Linked DNA regions of Daphnia pulex. The protein of the gene in region 2 binds, or shares a complex with, the protein of the main gene of each other region. Links are inferred from orthologs where the notes say so. Each region holds a gene or a part of one and is shown on either strand. Other genes may lie near its edges. The genes, in order: eukaryotic translation initiation factor 3 subunit L-like, eukaryotic translation initiation factor 3 subunit D-like, eukaryotic translation initiation factor 3 subunit I-like and eukaryotic translation initiation factor 3 subunit J-like.

Region 1 (4,123 bases), on a different chromosome or scaffold from region 2:
CATGAAAAAAAAACTCATATTCCCTACTGATGCTTTGACTGAAACTGAAAATTTTCAAATTGCCCTTGTGTGTTTGAATTCCCCTTGTTTGATTTTAGATAGCATTTTTTTTTTTTTACATTTCCTATGAGGATGCCAATGGTCTACATTTCTAGTAAGATCTTCGGTCCAATTATTTAAAAAATGTTCTCTAATAAAAATAATCTTATCATTTGAATACATTCAAAAATAAGAGAAACGTACATAACATCACTGGTGGCCTTACATTCATTTCATTTGACTTCCTTGTAACTTGTCGGACTTAAAGGTAAGAAAAAAATTCTCTTTAAAAAAAGTTAAAAATCACTAACTTCCTCCATGTTATGTATTTTGCCTTTGAAAAACCAATAAGATGTAAAACATATTTAAAGGAGGTAAAGCATCGGATTTTTAAACTTTTTGTGTCTTCAATACGCGGTTAATTTCCTCGAATTTATGGATTTGTCTAATGAAGTAATCACCATAGCGCCGAGCTACTTTCGTGTCAGCAATATGGATCATTCCGCCATCGATATAGAAGTCCACCTAATGCGAGCAAAAGCGTAAATAAGATACATTCCACTAGAACTACAATTCTAAGATATTTCACCTCAGAGCCTGATTGGAGTTCACCGTCCAATCCAGAGGTGCCTTTAGTCCAAACGACGTTCTTCATCTTATGTTTGAAGCATAGCAGATGGGTGCGGAAATCAGTATCGGGCATTTCCAAAAACGCAGCCATTTTGGCGACAGGCATAGTAGTGTACAAACGTAGATAACTAAACAGAAAATTTATGTTAATAATACTCGGACATTCAAATCTAATGTTGAACAAATACCTGCGAATCGTTGGCAAAGTAAGTTGCTGTTGTACTTCATCCATGAAAACTTTTGCCAACTGTTGAAATGGTTCACGGCGATGATCGGCAGGTGGTGCTTCGACAGGAGGTGGAACAGGAGACAAAAATTTCGGAGAAGCGAAAGCGAATGCATTTTCGAATTCCTAACATAATTGAACAAATTTAAATTGTTGCTTTAACTTTAAAAAATATCAACAGAAACTCACTTGAAGTTCTCCCTTTTGCATCCGCACGATGCGTTCGGCATGAGGTTTCTCTCGCAGGATCGCCTGTAGAGATTCGTCGATGCGCTGAGGATGAAGAACGAGGCACACCGACAGTAGAACGTACATTTTTTCGGTTTGTTTGTTGATCTATAAACACAAAAAAGGAGATTAAGATTTCAGTATTTCATTTCACTTAAATCTAATTGACCTGGTCATTTTGGTATGTTTTAGCCTGGTATAATGGCTTAGTGCGCTGGACGTAGAGTAGAATATGGGAAAACGTCCGAATAGCATCAGCATACCGCCTCATCATCAAATAAGCAAAACCAACATAATAGTAAGTTGAGATTTGGCAGGCAGGTACTCTGGAGTACAGAGTCTAAAATGAGATTGATGGATTACGTTTACAAGCAATGCAAATCATTTTTAATTTTGCGCTTACCTTTTTATTGAGTTCCATATTTTCAAGAACCTTAACAGCTTGATAGAAATCTCCTAATAATGAGTGGAGTCTCAGTAATCCAACAAGACTGAAGTAACCCAACATTTTATAAAGAGGTCGGCGGCCAAATTCTCCTGCTACGGTATCGGGATCATCACCTTTGGCGTATACCTACATATCGATTGTATTAATTTTAAATTACAACCAATAATGATTCTCTCCTTCTTACTTCCAATTGTTGGTTGATATTGGATTTGTCAACCAAAGAATACAACACATTCAATACAGAATGAATGTTCCACAAAGTTGGGTTGATTCTGATGAATTCAAGTTCTTCAGCTGTAAAAAAAAAAAAAAAATGGTGAGAAAAGAAAAGATGGAGCATAAGATGATGGGTGTACCTGATTTCTTATGAAGAGAACAACGAAAAAGAGCAAAAGACTGGAACTGGTAGACAAATTCATCAATTATTTCCCACAGCCATTGATGAGGAAGCTCCAAAACAACTGGACTTTTAGCACCTGTAGTAAAATGGTTTATGAAGGCTTTGGGCAAACATCTAAAAATTAGTGAAGTTAGTACTCAAAATATGGTTGAAAAGTTGACAGTAGTTGTAGTAAGACTCAAAACGTTGTTCAATTGTTGGTCCTCCTTGGATTCGTGCATAAATGTGGCGATAGTAAAGTTCCTTGTAGAGAATCAGAAACGGTTGATCATCATCCACTAATGGGGAAACTTCATCTGCATCAGGCCAAGGGGATGATTTGAAGTGCTCTTCAGTTAATTTTGGAAATCTAAATGGAGTAAAAAACAATGGATCAACAATTCAACTTTGTCTGACAGGCACTGTGGTGGGCTTACGTGTTCTCGTAGACATTCTGAATTTCATACAACTTTCCAGAGTTTACCATCTCTCGAAAATAAATAATGAATTTCTTGATCACATCCGGCATGCTATATTGAGCATATTGGGGAGCACTTCCATAGCTAGTGTATCGTTCATTTTCAGCATCAAGCCGTGGATCCCCGGTTGGCTCATAGGCATCGGCTTCATACTCGTACTACAAATGAAAAAGTTTTTGATGATAGGTACAGAACATGTTGTAATTATTGTACACTTACATCCTCAAATTCTTCGGCATACATCTTTTAGGTTTTTCAATACCGATAGTTATTAAATTTCAATTGAAAATTGCGGAAAATTGAGAAAAGTCCACGAGTAAGATTACTATTTCGATTACTAGTGGCTCTAGTGTCAAATAATAGTAGCTGCACAGCGTTGCCGCATGTACTCAACAATTTTCCAAAAGATCATCTGTCAAAAATTCGAATGTAAAAATCGATCGTCAAACTTATTTACTCCGGTTGAGATTAATTTACCTTAAACTTAACAGATTTCAATGCTAAACGGGACTGCCATTACAATTCTGTTTTTCTGTTTTATAGCAAGTATATCAAATCATGATCAAAAGTTGATCAGGAAGTAAATATTCAAAGAAAATGGTTACCAAAATTGTTTCAAATTTACGGATGAAGACATCAAGCACTCCAATAGCTGCATTCAGGCTGTGTTTCCCAGGAACCATAAAAACACTGCTGAGGTGGATTTGTTGCAGTTGCAGGATGGGTTGTCTAGACACATAAGTATTGATCGTGTCTGGCAGAGGTCTGCTACAACTGGGACCGAGTTTTTACGTTTCTCGCCGGCTCCGGCTCGTCCCCTGTCGCGTGATTCACCGGCATACATGTGTGTACTGCTGTCATGGTGATTATTTGCCATGTTTGGAATAAGTGTTTTGTGGTTTCATGTGACCATTATGCCTAATGCATTTAAGCAGGATTACATAAAACTATGCTGGAGTCAATGGTTAATAGTGCCGAACAGGTTTTATTACTTTGAAATCAACTCGAAAATCGCAAACCATGATGCCGTACAAACTGGTTTTTGAATTTATACGGTTCCCGGTTTTCTTTCCTTTTAGAGACGTAATTGGCAATATTTCAATCACATACCAACCACGGAAAAGGAATGAATTTTCAAAGCGTGTTATTTCTTACCATATTCGCCACACCGATGACAATAAGTGGGTTATCTTATCTTTAATCGAAACTTTATATTTAATTCTAATATTTTACTGAACTTAAATGGAAGCAGGCATTTTTTGAAGTTTAAGATTATAACGTTCAATAAAAGGAACTAGAGACAAACCAAAAACGTTGCCCTGCAAATATTTCTCTACTTATTTAGAATTTTGATTGGGTCATATCTCCGTTTTTTAATATTCAGCCAACTATATACAGAAACATATAAACTCTGCATCTCTAGGAGCAAAAAATAACCGAAACGCGCGGACGCAAATTTCGAATCTCCCAATAAGGATTTGGCTTTCATGTTTGATTTCGTGGACCAATGGCAATGCGCAACACAATCAAGCTCCGCCCTCTTGCACCCAAGGCTGTTCATGAGGTTATAAATGCCAGTCCCATTGCAAACGGAAATTCATATCCAGAGGATTCCAGCGCGAGGCACGTTGACCGTTAAACTTGAGAGTTTTTCTCTTTCAATTTCATTTCGAAAAATATTAGAAAATGCGTGA
Region 2 (4,028 bases):
AATCAAACAAAGTAAAGCTGTATAAGTAAACTGGAAGCTTCATAAGTGCTTTATTCCATGTAACGATCATTACAAACGTAGTACTGTTGTAGATTGGGGAATTGGTGGAAGAGCTGTTCTTTTGTTTGTATCAGCCGTTACTCGTCTTCTATTCATGTGTAAAAAATAAATACATTATTATTTACCATTTCGTGGTTGACGTTATGAAATCATGCGTTTAATAGCGCCTTTTTTAAAGCTACCTTAAGTCATGTCGCGTATCTAATTAGGTTTTTTTCCCCCAAGAAGCCAAGCACTTCCACTAGTGGTTAGATATTATACATATATACAAAGCTCGAGCTACGAATTCAAGCAAAACGTAACACGGCGTACAAATGCAGGGAAATTTGATTAACTGCTTGGACGTGTTTATTTAATCTTTGCTAGTAAAAAAAAAAGGGAGGCCAACACCCAAGCAAAAAAAGCAAGCCAGCAGTTACACACGCACGTTACGATATTGATTGGTTACAAACCTTCGCCTTCTTCGAAAAATGCTTCATCGTCGCTCTCAAACGTGTTATCGGGCACCTTGTAAAGGCGGATGACGGGCTTGTTAGGATCCTTCACCAACAAATATTTGCCATCCTCTTCCTTCATACACAAATCAATAATACAACGGAGAATGCCCCAAGCATTGTCCATGTTAAGGTTGATTTGCGATGCGAAATCTGACGGGCGGAACTGCTGTGTTCCAAGGATTACATGACGCGATGTATCTCGTAAGTGCATACGGGAAACATATCTGAAGTAAACAATATTAGTTACAATAATATTCGAGGGACAACAGGAGTCTTCACATACCCGAATTTAATCCAATCAGAGTTGGCGAGCAGAGCTTGCACAGTCCATTTTGCTAGCTTGCATGCATTATTCTTCAGCTCGTTGGCCAGAACAGCACCTCGCTGAGTGTCCAGTTTCTGGCGCCATTCGACTCCACCAGACAACTTGAAGTACAAAATCATTTTAAAGACACAGTTTCATTACGAACAGTGAATATGCATACCCTTGAGTCCCATTCATTAAGAGCTTTGATGTTGATAAATTGGTTATCACCAGCCGATCCAACGGTGACAGCGTCATGTTCGCAACGTGCCACCAGAACAACACCCCCATCTAAATCCCATTTACGGTAACGGTAAGCCACCGAGGCAACTTCACCTACTTCATCTTCCGAAATGAAGGGATTAGGCTCATCCAATTTGAATTTTTCTTCTCCCTACAAGATTATGAAACGACAAAATTAGGGATTTATGCCATTTTATAAAACCTATTATAAATACCATCTTCAGGACTTGTTGGGATAAATTATGATTAATAAAGGTCGCTTCTAGTGCCAAATTACGTGGGCTATTGATGCCCTCTTCTTGAGGAGGTTCATTGGATGTTTCGGATACAGTTAGCAGATCTAGGGAAAAGGGAAGATTATAGATCATTGCAAACTCCCTCAGTGGCCAAAAGGTACGTACCAAATTCCGAATCATCACGTTTATCAAAAAACAGTTTGCCACCAACTTTCTGGACGATTATGTCCCAACTATAGTTGGAGCGAATACTGCACATCAAAGTAGCCAAGATGGAATCAGTTGCGTAGACATTACCCTCAGTTTTTGCCAACTAATGAATTTGAGAATTAGCATACTACCACGCGTAAGACTTGAATGTGACTACTGTTTCTTACTTTGCGGATAATGGGGTCATCAGTTGTGGTGACCTTGTGAAAAATACGATCAATTCTTTGCAGTCTTCGTTCATTTTTCACAGTTACGCGGTCGTACTGCTTATCATAAAACTCGAGTTCACCACAAGTAAGTCTGGAAAAATAAAATAATATCATTATTTTAAAATCAGCATGTGAAAGGTTTTAGTTTAAATAGTTGATTACAAATCAGAAGCTTCCTTGCTAAGACGCAGAGAAAGTTTGTTGAGCCTGGGGAAATCCATCTCTTCAATGATTTTCCATGAAGGCTGAACAATAACTGATGATTCACGGTTTTTAACCTGAATTTGGCCCTACAAGTTTTTAAAAAATGAGTATGAGACTGAATAATCGGTAAGGTGAGAAGCTTTACTTGACGAGGTCCTCTATTATTCCACTTGTTCCTAGTCTGTCTCATTCGGTTATCCTTCATCTTGCCACCTTCAAAGAAAATGTATAAACAATCTGTTGCTATTAATTGCTATTTGAACACTTTACCTTTAAGTGGCACAGGCTGAGAATTCCTAAAGTTTTGTCTGCCTCTTGCAAGCCGTTGGTTGCGAAGGAATCTTCCTCTAGCATACATTGGTCTTGGAGTCCTTGCAGTATCCACAAGCTGAAAGCTGTTCTCTTCCTCATCATGCAGATAAGCATACTGGCTTCCACCAGCCCCTCCAGAGTATTTTCCACCACCATACTTGCGGTCTGTAAAGGAATAATTGATGCTGCTTCCACCAGCCCATTCCGACATCTAATAAATTAAACAAAACATCAGAAGAAGTTAATACAAAATTCGGCAATGAAACGTTACCTTCGAGAATGGTTGATATGGCATATCTTTGTAGCGGTCGGGAATACCTAAAGGTCCCCATCCGTCATTATTGTCTTGAGTCGCTGGTGGAACAAAATGCGCCGCCATGTTATACAATTTAACGTGACCTTATGAAAATAACTTTTCAGAATTTAGTCGTAGGCACTTTCTCACTAGACCGGCTGGCTGACAGCTTGCTACAAGTTAGAACATGGTAATCGCCATTTTAGTACCGGATGCTACGTATACCACTGTTGCCATTGTTGAAAATGATGTTTATACCTTTCTGCCGCTTTACTTTTTTCCACTGTTTTCCTAATAATTCCGAATTAGCATATCTTTAATTTCAATCACAAATTTTTAATTTAGACGCAATTATAATAAGATACTGAAGTATGAAAATCTTAAATCAGCTAAAAAATACAAAAAATATAATAAAAAAATGGCCAGAATACTAAATGACTAAATGTATTCTGATCTGGAATATGGTGTTTTTTATAAAATCCCTCCAGAGTCAAGCTCAGACTCAGATGAAGAAATATGTTACATTACTTTAGAAAGTTACACCAGATTGAACGTAAGATCACGGAAACCCCACACTTCATTAAAATATAAGTAAGCCCACTAGAGAGAAATGTTTTTTAATTACATATTATTGTTGTCTTTTCGAAGATAGCACAAATTTTCTTTCGAGAGTAGAGAATCATTACTTTCTCCTCCATGTATCTTCGTTTTTTAAATGAATGACGTATCAATCTTAATTTTGCGAAAGAGGAACATAAAGAGGAATTGTGAGGTAAGATTTTTCAGTATTAGAGTGATTAGAGAAACTGTGGATATTCTGTACAGGGCACGTGTATTCTTTCAGCTCTTAAGAATGATTAACCGTTCGATCTGGATATTTTCTAATGGGCCACTGTGCAAATATAGATATAGACTACATTATAATTCAGAGACCTATTCAAAATTTTATAATTCATCGACAAACGGGACGTTGCTCAGGTTTCCAATGGCAGCGACAGTTAGCTTGGCAGAAGCCAACCGGGAAGCTACAGCGTTGACGTCAGCAATTGAAACATTATCGACAGTAGAAAGAAGATCAGCCCGGTTGAGAAGCGCTTGCAGAGCCAACTCTTCAACTAACACACCAGTGTTCTCTTTGGCCATCAACAAGTCGGCTTTAAGTTGGGCTTTTGCACGGCTCAATTGGCTTTCGTTGACTGAAGCTGATCGCAAAACTTTTGTAGCGGCGGAAACAACTTTGCCGGCATCTGAGGCTGGGGCAGCGGCCACGAACCCAAATAGACCAGCATCGGAGTAGTTCAAATTCAAGGAAGAAACTGCACCAGCACCCAACACTGCTTGGTTTAGTTTTGATCCTGCTCCAGAACCATATTTAACTGGGATTCCTAGACAGTAACAAAGGAGTTATTTTGATAGACTTTTTAATTGTGGGAAGAAGGGGAATATGATTACCTGCAC
Region 3 (3,467 bases), on a different chromosome or scaffold from region 2:
CCGAGCGAACTTGCCATCGCGTTCAGTTGCAATAAAGGAAGTAGTTTCAATAGCAATCATCCTCATTGAAACGTCGGAGTCGTCGATCAAGTTGAACATCGTATTTGTAAAGTTCGGATATCTGGCTAATACATCCGGTTGAAAATGAGCCAGCGAACCGATAAATTTCATAAGCCCGGGAACGAGCAGGCGAGGCAAGAGGATCTGCAGGAGCCTCGTCCAAATTACCGGCGAGCTTCTCAATGATTCCTTGTCGCTCGAGATAGTCCCGACCATGTTGGCAAGACGCTAGAGTCGTAATAAGTTCCAATGCGTTCAGCTGGGACAAGAATGTCTCCCATTAAAACTTCTACCAGAAGGAAACTGATGAGCTCTTTCTCTTCGCAAAATGCCAAGTTTTCTTGGGATGCGCAACAGTAGGTGATTAGAATATCGTAAACCCTGTAATGGACTTCGTCAGAAGAAAAAGATTTCAAAAGAATTGTTTGTAAACAATATCAGTTATGTTTTCTCCTCTTAAACAGGCGACTCGAACCTGTTTGTATACGCTTAATTTCGTCTCGTGCCCTCTCTTGAGAAATAAATTTTCCCCCCAAAAAAGATTCTCACTCGAGACCTTTCCAACATGATGTATTCAAATACCTTCTCTTATATCGCCCATGTACACGAAAGTGGTCAAAAAATAAACACAAGACAAGTGTTCATAGATGATGGATTGGGTTCTTCGTAGGTTTTTCGCTTTTCTTCTGGTTTAGTAATCGAATTTAAAGTCAAAGTAAGACTGGTCGAATTGATTCAAACGAACGTAACCATCTTCACCACCACTGGCGTACGTCTTTCCGTCGGGATGGAAGGCCAGAGAATTGATAGGACCGAAATGGCCCTTGACACGAGCGAATTCTTCTTCGAAAACCAGATGGAAGAAACGGGCGTCGAACTTGCCGACACGCGTTGAGGTCGTCGTTACGTCCATGGCATCTTGACCACCTCCCAACACCACCTGAAGATTGAAGGAAAACAGTTAGAATCGATCAACTGAATCATTTAGAAGCTCAAGGATCATACGTGATCCATGATGGGTGAGATGGCGGCACTGTTGACGGGTCGCTCAGTTTTGTAAGTTTTTAGGCACTCTAACGTTTCGGCGTTAAAGAGTTTTGCAGTGCAATCCTTGGATGCAGTGATGAGGAGAGCTCCGTCTTTGGACAGCTGCATGTCGTTGATAGACTTGGCGTGTTCTGAAACCAGGTTGTTCTTCTTGCCAGTTCTGTAGTATAAATAATAAACAGGATTTAGTTTTAAGCACTCAAGGTTACGACAATGTCATTCTCACCTGAGGTCCCATTGGGCCAAGTCACCATTGTCGTGACCAGAAATAACAACCTCATCTAGATTACCCCAAACCATTGATGTGGCTTTAGGGGCATTAGTTAATGGAATTCGCAGGATGGGGTCATTTTCACTGAAGGAAGAGTCAACCGTTCTGACATCAATGATGAAGATCTCTGAAGGGTTACCCATAGTACTGTCTGTTGAGTAAAGGGCCATGTTTCCACTGTAACTGAAGTTGCATGTACGAACTGAAGTCTTGGCTTCAATTTTACCCAAAGCCTTGCCTAAAAAAAAACAAAGAAAAGTTTAAGTCGTAATTACGCAATGGGGTCATTTCTCACTGAACATACCAGTTTGGACATCCCAGATCATGAGCATATTATCACCAGCACCAGACATGAAACGTTTAGTTTCCCAATCAACATCAATCGCCCATACGACACCCTGATGTCCCTCGTAGGTACCCAATCGTTCTCCATTGACTGAATACCAGACACAAGGGTGGTTGTCCTTGGCTGACGAGAAGAGCAAATCTCCATCCCGGTTGTACTTAATTTGCGTGATTGAACGCTCGTGACCGTGAAGCATAAGAGGTTTCTGTGATCAACAATAACAGTGGATTAATATAATGAAATTAAATAACAGAAATGCACTGAAAATTACCATTTTTGTTTATATTAATTGGTCACAACTGTAATAATGACGTACACTTCTTTCGGCGTGGGGCGACTGAGGCCTTTCGACGTTTTTACAACACTCGTCTGCCGGCCCTGCTCGATTTTACAGTGTTGCCACCCACCCACCAAAAAACGAACCATCTTTAATCTTATCAAAACTGTTAAACTTTATACAAAAAAAAAAAAAATTAATTTTTATTCTTTAATCACGCGTAACGTTAAAATGACACTAGCAAAAATAATTTTACTTTTCGATTTGTTTCAGAGGGCGCTACTCGCTAGGGAAGTTAAAGCAGTTTTAACATCGTCTGCTATTCTCATTCAACTATTTTGGCGGGTTCCCTCACATTGCGTGTTCCTTCACATTGCGTGTGTCTCGTGGAACACAATTACCAAAATTATTTATCTAGAATGGTGAATTTGGTTTTAAATAATGTTCCCATTGAATTTCCATTCCAGCCTTATGATGTACAAGAGAAATTCATGGAGCGTGTGATAGAATGTCTTCAAAAAGTAACTAGTGTTGCGTTATCGGTCAGTGGACACCTTGCTCTTATTTTGTTATTCTTGATTAAATAGGGTGTAAATGGTTTGTTGGAATCTCCTACTGGCACAGGAAAAACTTTGTGCTTACTTTGTTCGACATTGGGTTGGTTAGCAACACGAAAAGCACAAATACAGTCTGGTCAATTAGCTGGAGATATGGGAGTGGATATTAAAAATCAATTAAGTAATGCAACTGGGCTTGGATGGGGAGATGCTGCTACTCCTGGAGCTGGAGTACCCAAAATCATTTATGCATCCAGAACTCATTCTCAGCTCAGCCAGGTCATTTCTGAATTAAAACGGTCCTCTTACAGATATATGAAGGTGAGCATTTCCTTCTTCCATTAAAGCTATTTGCCTACATGAAATGGGTTTTGATAACCCTTATTTTATTTTTCTTCATTTAAGGTATGCATCCTTGGATCTCGTGACCAACTGTGCATTCATCCAGAAGTGTCAAAGGAAACAAACAATGCTGTAAAGCTTCACATGTGCCATGCTAGAACTACTACTCGTACTTGCTACTTCCACACAAATCTAGATGCTAAGAAAGAGGAACCAGACTTCAAAATGGATGTATTGGATATTGAAGACTTGGTGACTTTGGGGAAAAAACATTCTGCTTGCCCTTATTTTATGACAAAAGAAATTCGTAAGGTAGCTGACATCATCTTTATGCCATACAACTACCTTCTTGATCCTAAAGTGAGAAAAATTCACAACATTGAACTCCAGGTAATTCCCAGTACATTTAGTAGTCTTTAAAGGTGCATGAAATATTAACTTCTTTTTTTGTGCTTGTTTAGGGAAATATTGTTATATTTGATGAGGCCCACAATGTTGAGAAAATGTGTGAAGAATCTTCATCTATTGAACTTAGAAGTTTAGATATAGCCCTTTGTGTTGATGAAG
Region 4 (3,238 bases), on a different chromosome or scaffold from region 2:
ATTAACGAACTTTCTCACAGTGAAACGCCATATAACGAGTTAGAAGTATCGACCAAACAACCACTTTTATGCCACTACTAGTCTGCTACTCAGCAGGAAACGCACGTGCTTCATTTATTGATTAGGCATGCAGCCGGCTGCCACGGCAACGATTTCCATTACATTTTAAAAACAAAACCCCCCTAATCCCCTCTCTTACGCCCACTGGGTATCAAATAAGGATTCACCAGTATACAAATTTGCGGGGTACTCAAAACTCAAATTTAAAAAAATAAATATTGAAAGTTATTTGCTTACTTTTGACAGTGTGTAGCATTCAATGGGACAAATACATCTAACTACATCTAACTTTACAACTGTCACCATCTCCTTTTTTGACGCTAAAAGTAGAAAACTGGAACGTCTAAGAAAATATGCAACTTAACTCTATATATTGAATTAGAATAATTAAGAGGGAGGTTTTAACTTTTAACAGAAATTCAATCTCAATATATCTTAAAACACTGAAAAAACTGACAAGAGCAAAATGGCAAAATCATACATTTATTTTACCAATAAACCTTTTCCCGCCAAAAACAAAAGAAAAACAATTGGACCCTACATGAAGTCGTCATAGTCTCCTCCTCCGAAATCATCACCGAAGTTGTCGACCATTCCTTTGTCCATTTTTAAAGCAACTTTTGTTTTTCCTTTCTTTCCACCTTTTGTCGCCGCCTTCACCATCTTGAGTTTTTCTTCGTGCAAGGATTTGGTAGTTAGACTAACTTTTCTAAGGACTTCGACTTCCACTATGTTGAAAAACTGGGATGTAGAAAAGTTTTTAGCAACCAACATTAGAAAATGTGACTTACATCCAATGCAAACATCTTTAATGAAGTCCTCTATAAAATCATTATAGCACGCTTTAGTTGACAATGACTGAAGTTTTTTCACCAAGTTGTTCTTGAATTCTGAGAATTCCTCTTTAGATGAAGGGTTTGCTTCATCTATGCTTCCCTCTGTAGGCAAACTACCAGTAATTCCTGGAAAATAAAAATAACATTGAGAACAAAATATAAAACAAATCATGCTTAGTGCAGGTCAGCAATACAGTTTCCTAAGACAACTTACCAAAGGTTTCCTTGGCCATTTCAAAATCTGATTCTTCAACTAGTTTTTGTCTCCGAAGCTTTTCTGCTATTCTCTCTTCAGGTGTCATGTTTGCTTCCTGCAATATTTTTCTGGCTTCAGCTTCTTCTCTGCTTTTCTTTTCTTTTTCGGCTATTTTTTCTTCTAATCTTTTACTTGACTTTTTTTTGGTAGCCTGAAAGTAACAAACACATTTTAAATTTTTTGGATACTTTTACGAGAGATCACATGTACTTACTGTGGCTGCTGCTTTGACTTCAGCAGGCTTATTTTCTGTTTCTTCATCTTCCCAGCTATCCTATCATTTATAAACAAGAAAAAATGATAATTTTGAAATCAATCACAACTTTATGTAAAACTCATTGAGCAATAAGAATTTTTTGGCAAAAGAAGACACATGGTAGTCAAGTGAAAGTTGTAAGAATTGGAGCAGAAATAGAAAGGTACTGAGAGAACTTTTTTTCACTACAAGCGCTACAAGGTTCTACCAAATTTGTAGATATACTTACTACTAATATCATCACAATTGAATTACAACTCACCTTGACAGGTTCATCTTCATCCTCACCTTCCCATTTATCTGAAATTATGGCAGTCGTAACTGGAACAGGGACAGAGGGTTCAAAATCTTCGGCATCTATAATCACCACAAAATCGTATTTGATTAGAGTATACGATTAAATGGAACTTTGATATGCACTATTGAGAATTTCATACAAAAAACAGGTGGAATTGAATAACTTAATATAGAAATAATTAAATAAAATCACCCCAATCCGCCTCGGCCTCCATCTTCAACGAAAAATCGTGAACACACTAGTGTCCATGGCAGTTGCCAAATGCTTTCACTTTTCTAATAATGTTAATATGTGCATTACAAAATATTAAATATAGAAACCTAACAATAATTAAATTTTGAAACTTTATTGCAAACCTTTTATTATGAATTATTTAATTTTTTTTACCTGAGATATCTCGTTAATCCCAGCGTTGCTTAGTCTAGTGTTTCTGTCTTCCAGAGGCGCTAGTGTTTGCCTGTTTCCGAACTGCTTTTCTCTGACATTACCTGTTATTTAGCAATTGATAGGAGTTTCTGTCTGTATTAGTTGAGTTGACGTTTCACGGTGACCGTCGAAACAAAAGTTACCGCAAATTGGAGTAACAAAGTGACCGAAGTTAAAAAAAGAAATATTTGATAATGTCTGGATTTGATCAGAATCCTTTTGCAGAACCGGCTGTTTTCAACCCGTTTGCGGTAGATTATTTATAATATGTATATTATACTTACTATTACCATACTAATACCTTGGTTGAAAACTGGTGATTCATGGAGTACTCGCCGCATACAATATGAAAGAAAACCTTTTGAAAAATCACCTTGTTTATTAGTTTAGTGGTAAAGTGGTTGTTTACTTTCACAATAGGATCCATCTGTCCAGCAAGCTGCAGGAAACAATGCTGCGAGAGCTCAGCAAGGTCTTGAAGAATACAACCCTTTTGATGGTAGTAATCAAACTACCAGAGTTTCAATGGTAAAACATAATTTTATCATGAAAGTGGGAAGTGTGTTTGATTTGTTACAAAATTTAAGGACCGTGTTGGTGGAGCCAATCCACCCCCAACAATTCAAGCTGCCCCAGTGATATCTCCAGGACCACAACAACAAGCAGCTATGTCAAATGCGGATTTTCAAGTATTAAAACTTAAAAAGAAAGAAGGAAATCTTTATTCATTATATTGCATGGTTTTATAGAGACGTCAAGAAGAACTAGAGAAGAAAGCTCAAGAATTGCAGAGGCGAGAAGAAGAATTAAAGAATAATGTACCATTCAACTGTAGGAGAGAACAAATTTAAATGAAACTTTACTTTTTAATTTCTGTTATTTACTTCTTCATTACAGCTCAGCGCAATAATTGGCCACCACTGCCTGACAAGTTTTGTGTCCAACCATGCTTCTATCAAGACATCAATGTGGAAATCCCACTTGAATTTCAAAAAATTGTCCGCATGTTATACTATATTTGGATGCGTAAGTTAAACATATCATAGATTTCTTGTTTAAGTTTATTTTTGTTATCAGAAACTTTTATTGATTTTGTTTTGTTTCTT

Evidence for each region.
Region 1: eukaryotic translation initiation factor 3 subunit D-like (region 2) and eukaryotic translation initiation factor 3 subunit L-like share a complex: the UniProt entries of both Homo sapiens proteins name them as parts of the eukaryotic translation initiation factor 3 (eIF-3) complex. The link is inferred for Daphnia pulex from reciprocal best matches to the Homo sapiens genes EIF3D and EIF3L.
Region 3: eukaryotic translation initiation factor 3 subunit D-like (region 2) and eukaryotic translation initiation factor 3 subunit I-like share a complex: the UniProt entries of both Homo sapiens proteins name them as parts of the eukaryotic translation initiation factor 3 (eIF-3) complex. The link is inferred for Daphnia pulex from reciprocal best matches to the Homo sapiens genes EIF3D and EIF3I.
Region 4: eukaryotic translation initiation factor 3 subunit D-like (region 2) and eukaryotic translation initiation factor 3 subunit J-like share a complex: the UniProt entries of both Homo sapiens proteins name them as parts of the eukaryotic translation initiation factor 3 (eIF-3) complex. The link is inferred for Daphnia pulex from reciprocal best matches to the Homo sapiens genes EIF3D and EIF3J.

Annotation. Positions count from the first base shown.
Region 1 is NC_060018.1:1,452,573-1,456,695, forward strand, and holds eukaryotic translation initiation factor 3 subunit L-like, read right to left. Parts: upstream 2,819-4,123; 5' UTR 2,673-2,818; coding exon 2,649-2,672; intron 2,588-2,648; coding exon 2,388-2,587; intron 2,321-2,387; coding exon 2,109-2,320; intron 2,048-2,108; coding exon 1,928-2,047; intron 1,866-1,927; coding exon 1,756-1,865; intron 1,698-1,755; coding exon 1,527-1,697; intron 1,464-1,526; coding exon 1,293-1,463; intron 1,232-1,292; coding exon 1,085-1,231; intron 1,022-1,084; coding exon 858-1,021; intron 798-857; coding exon 629-797; intron 565-628; coding exon 430-564; 3' UTR 347-429; downstream 1-346. Other genes in the region: tubulin beta chain, read left to right, coding at 4,116-4,123. UniProt on the Homo sapiens protein: Component of the eukaryotic translation initiation factor 3 (eIF-3) complex, which is required for several steps in the initiation of protein synthesis.
Region 2 is NC_060023.1:3,616,111-3,620,138, forward strand, and holds eukaryotic translation initiation factor 3 subunit D-like, read right to left. Parts: upstream 2,801-4,028; 5' UTR 2,655-2,800; coding exon 2,547-2,654; intron 2,487-2,546; coding exon 2,234-2,486; intron 2,177-2,233; coding exon 2,109-2,176; intron 2,050-2,108; coding exon 1,922-2,049; intron 1,851-1,921; coding exon 1,718-1,850; intron 1,654-1,717; coding exon 1,506-1,653; intron 1,445-1,505; coding exon 1,320-1,444; intron 1,256-1,319; coding exon 1,043-1,255; intron 984-1,042; coding exon 841-983; intron 782-840; coding exon 513-781; intron 191-512; exon of another isoform or gene 149-190; coding exon 138-148; 3' UTR 27-137; downstream 1-26. Other genes in the region: L-allo-threonine aldolase-like, read left to right, coding at 1-25; cytochrome b-c1 complex subunit 2, mitochondrial-like, read right to left, coding at 3,516-3,955, 4,023-4,028. UniProt on the Homo sapiens protein: mRNA cap-binding component of the eukaryotic translation initiation factor 3 (eIF-3) complex, a complex required for several steps in the initiation of protein synthesis of a specialized repertoire of mRNAs.
Region 3 is NC_060019.1:6,193,179-6,196,645, forward strand, and holds eukaryotic translation initiation factor 3 subunit I-like, read right to left. Parts: upstream 2,146-3,467; 5' UTR 1,999-2,145; coding exon 1,996-1,998; intron 1,930-1,995; coding exon 1,683-1,929; intron 1,617-1,682; coding exon 1,334-1,616; intron 1,268-1,333; coding exon 1,066-1,267; intron 1,001-1,065; coding exon 752-1,000; 3' UTR 614-751; downstream 1-613. Other genes in the region: regulator of telomere elongation helicase 1 homolog, read left to right, coding at 2,421-2,522, 2,589-2,879, 2,964-3,290, 3,362-3,467. UniProt on the Homo sapiens protein: Component of the eukaryotic translation initiation factor 3 (eIF-3) complex, which is required for several steps in the initiation of protein synthesis.
Region 4 is NC_060019.1:7,843,368-7,846,605, forward strand, and holds eukaryotic translation initiation factor 3 subunit J-like, read right to left. Parts: upstream 1,986-3,238; 5' UTR 1,921-1,985; coding exon 1,899-1,920; intron 1,766-1,898; coding exon 1,671-1,765; intron 1,427-1,670; coding exon 1,367-1,426; intron 1,304-1,366; coding exon 1,111-1,303; intron 1,023-1,110; coding exon 852-1,022; intron 789-851; coding exon 598-788; 3' UTR 524-597; downstream 1-523. Other genes in the region: secretory carrier-associated membrane protein 2-like, read left to right, coding at 2,327-2,383, 2,553-2,660, 2,720-2,821, 2,882-2,963, 3,030-3,158. UniProt on the Homo sapiens protein: Component of the eukaryotic translation initiation factor 3 (eIF-3) complex, which is required for several steps in the initiation of protein synthesis.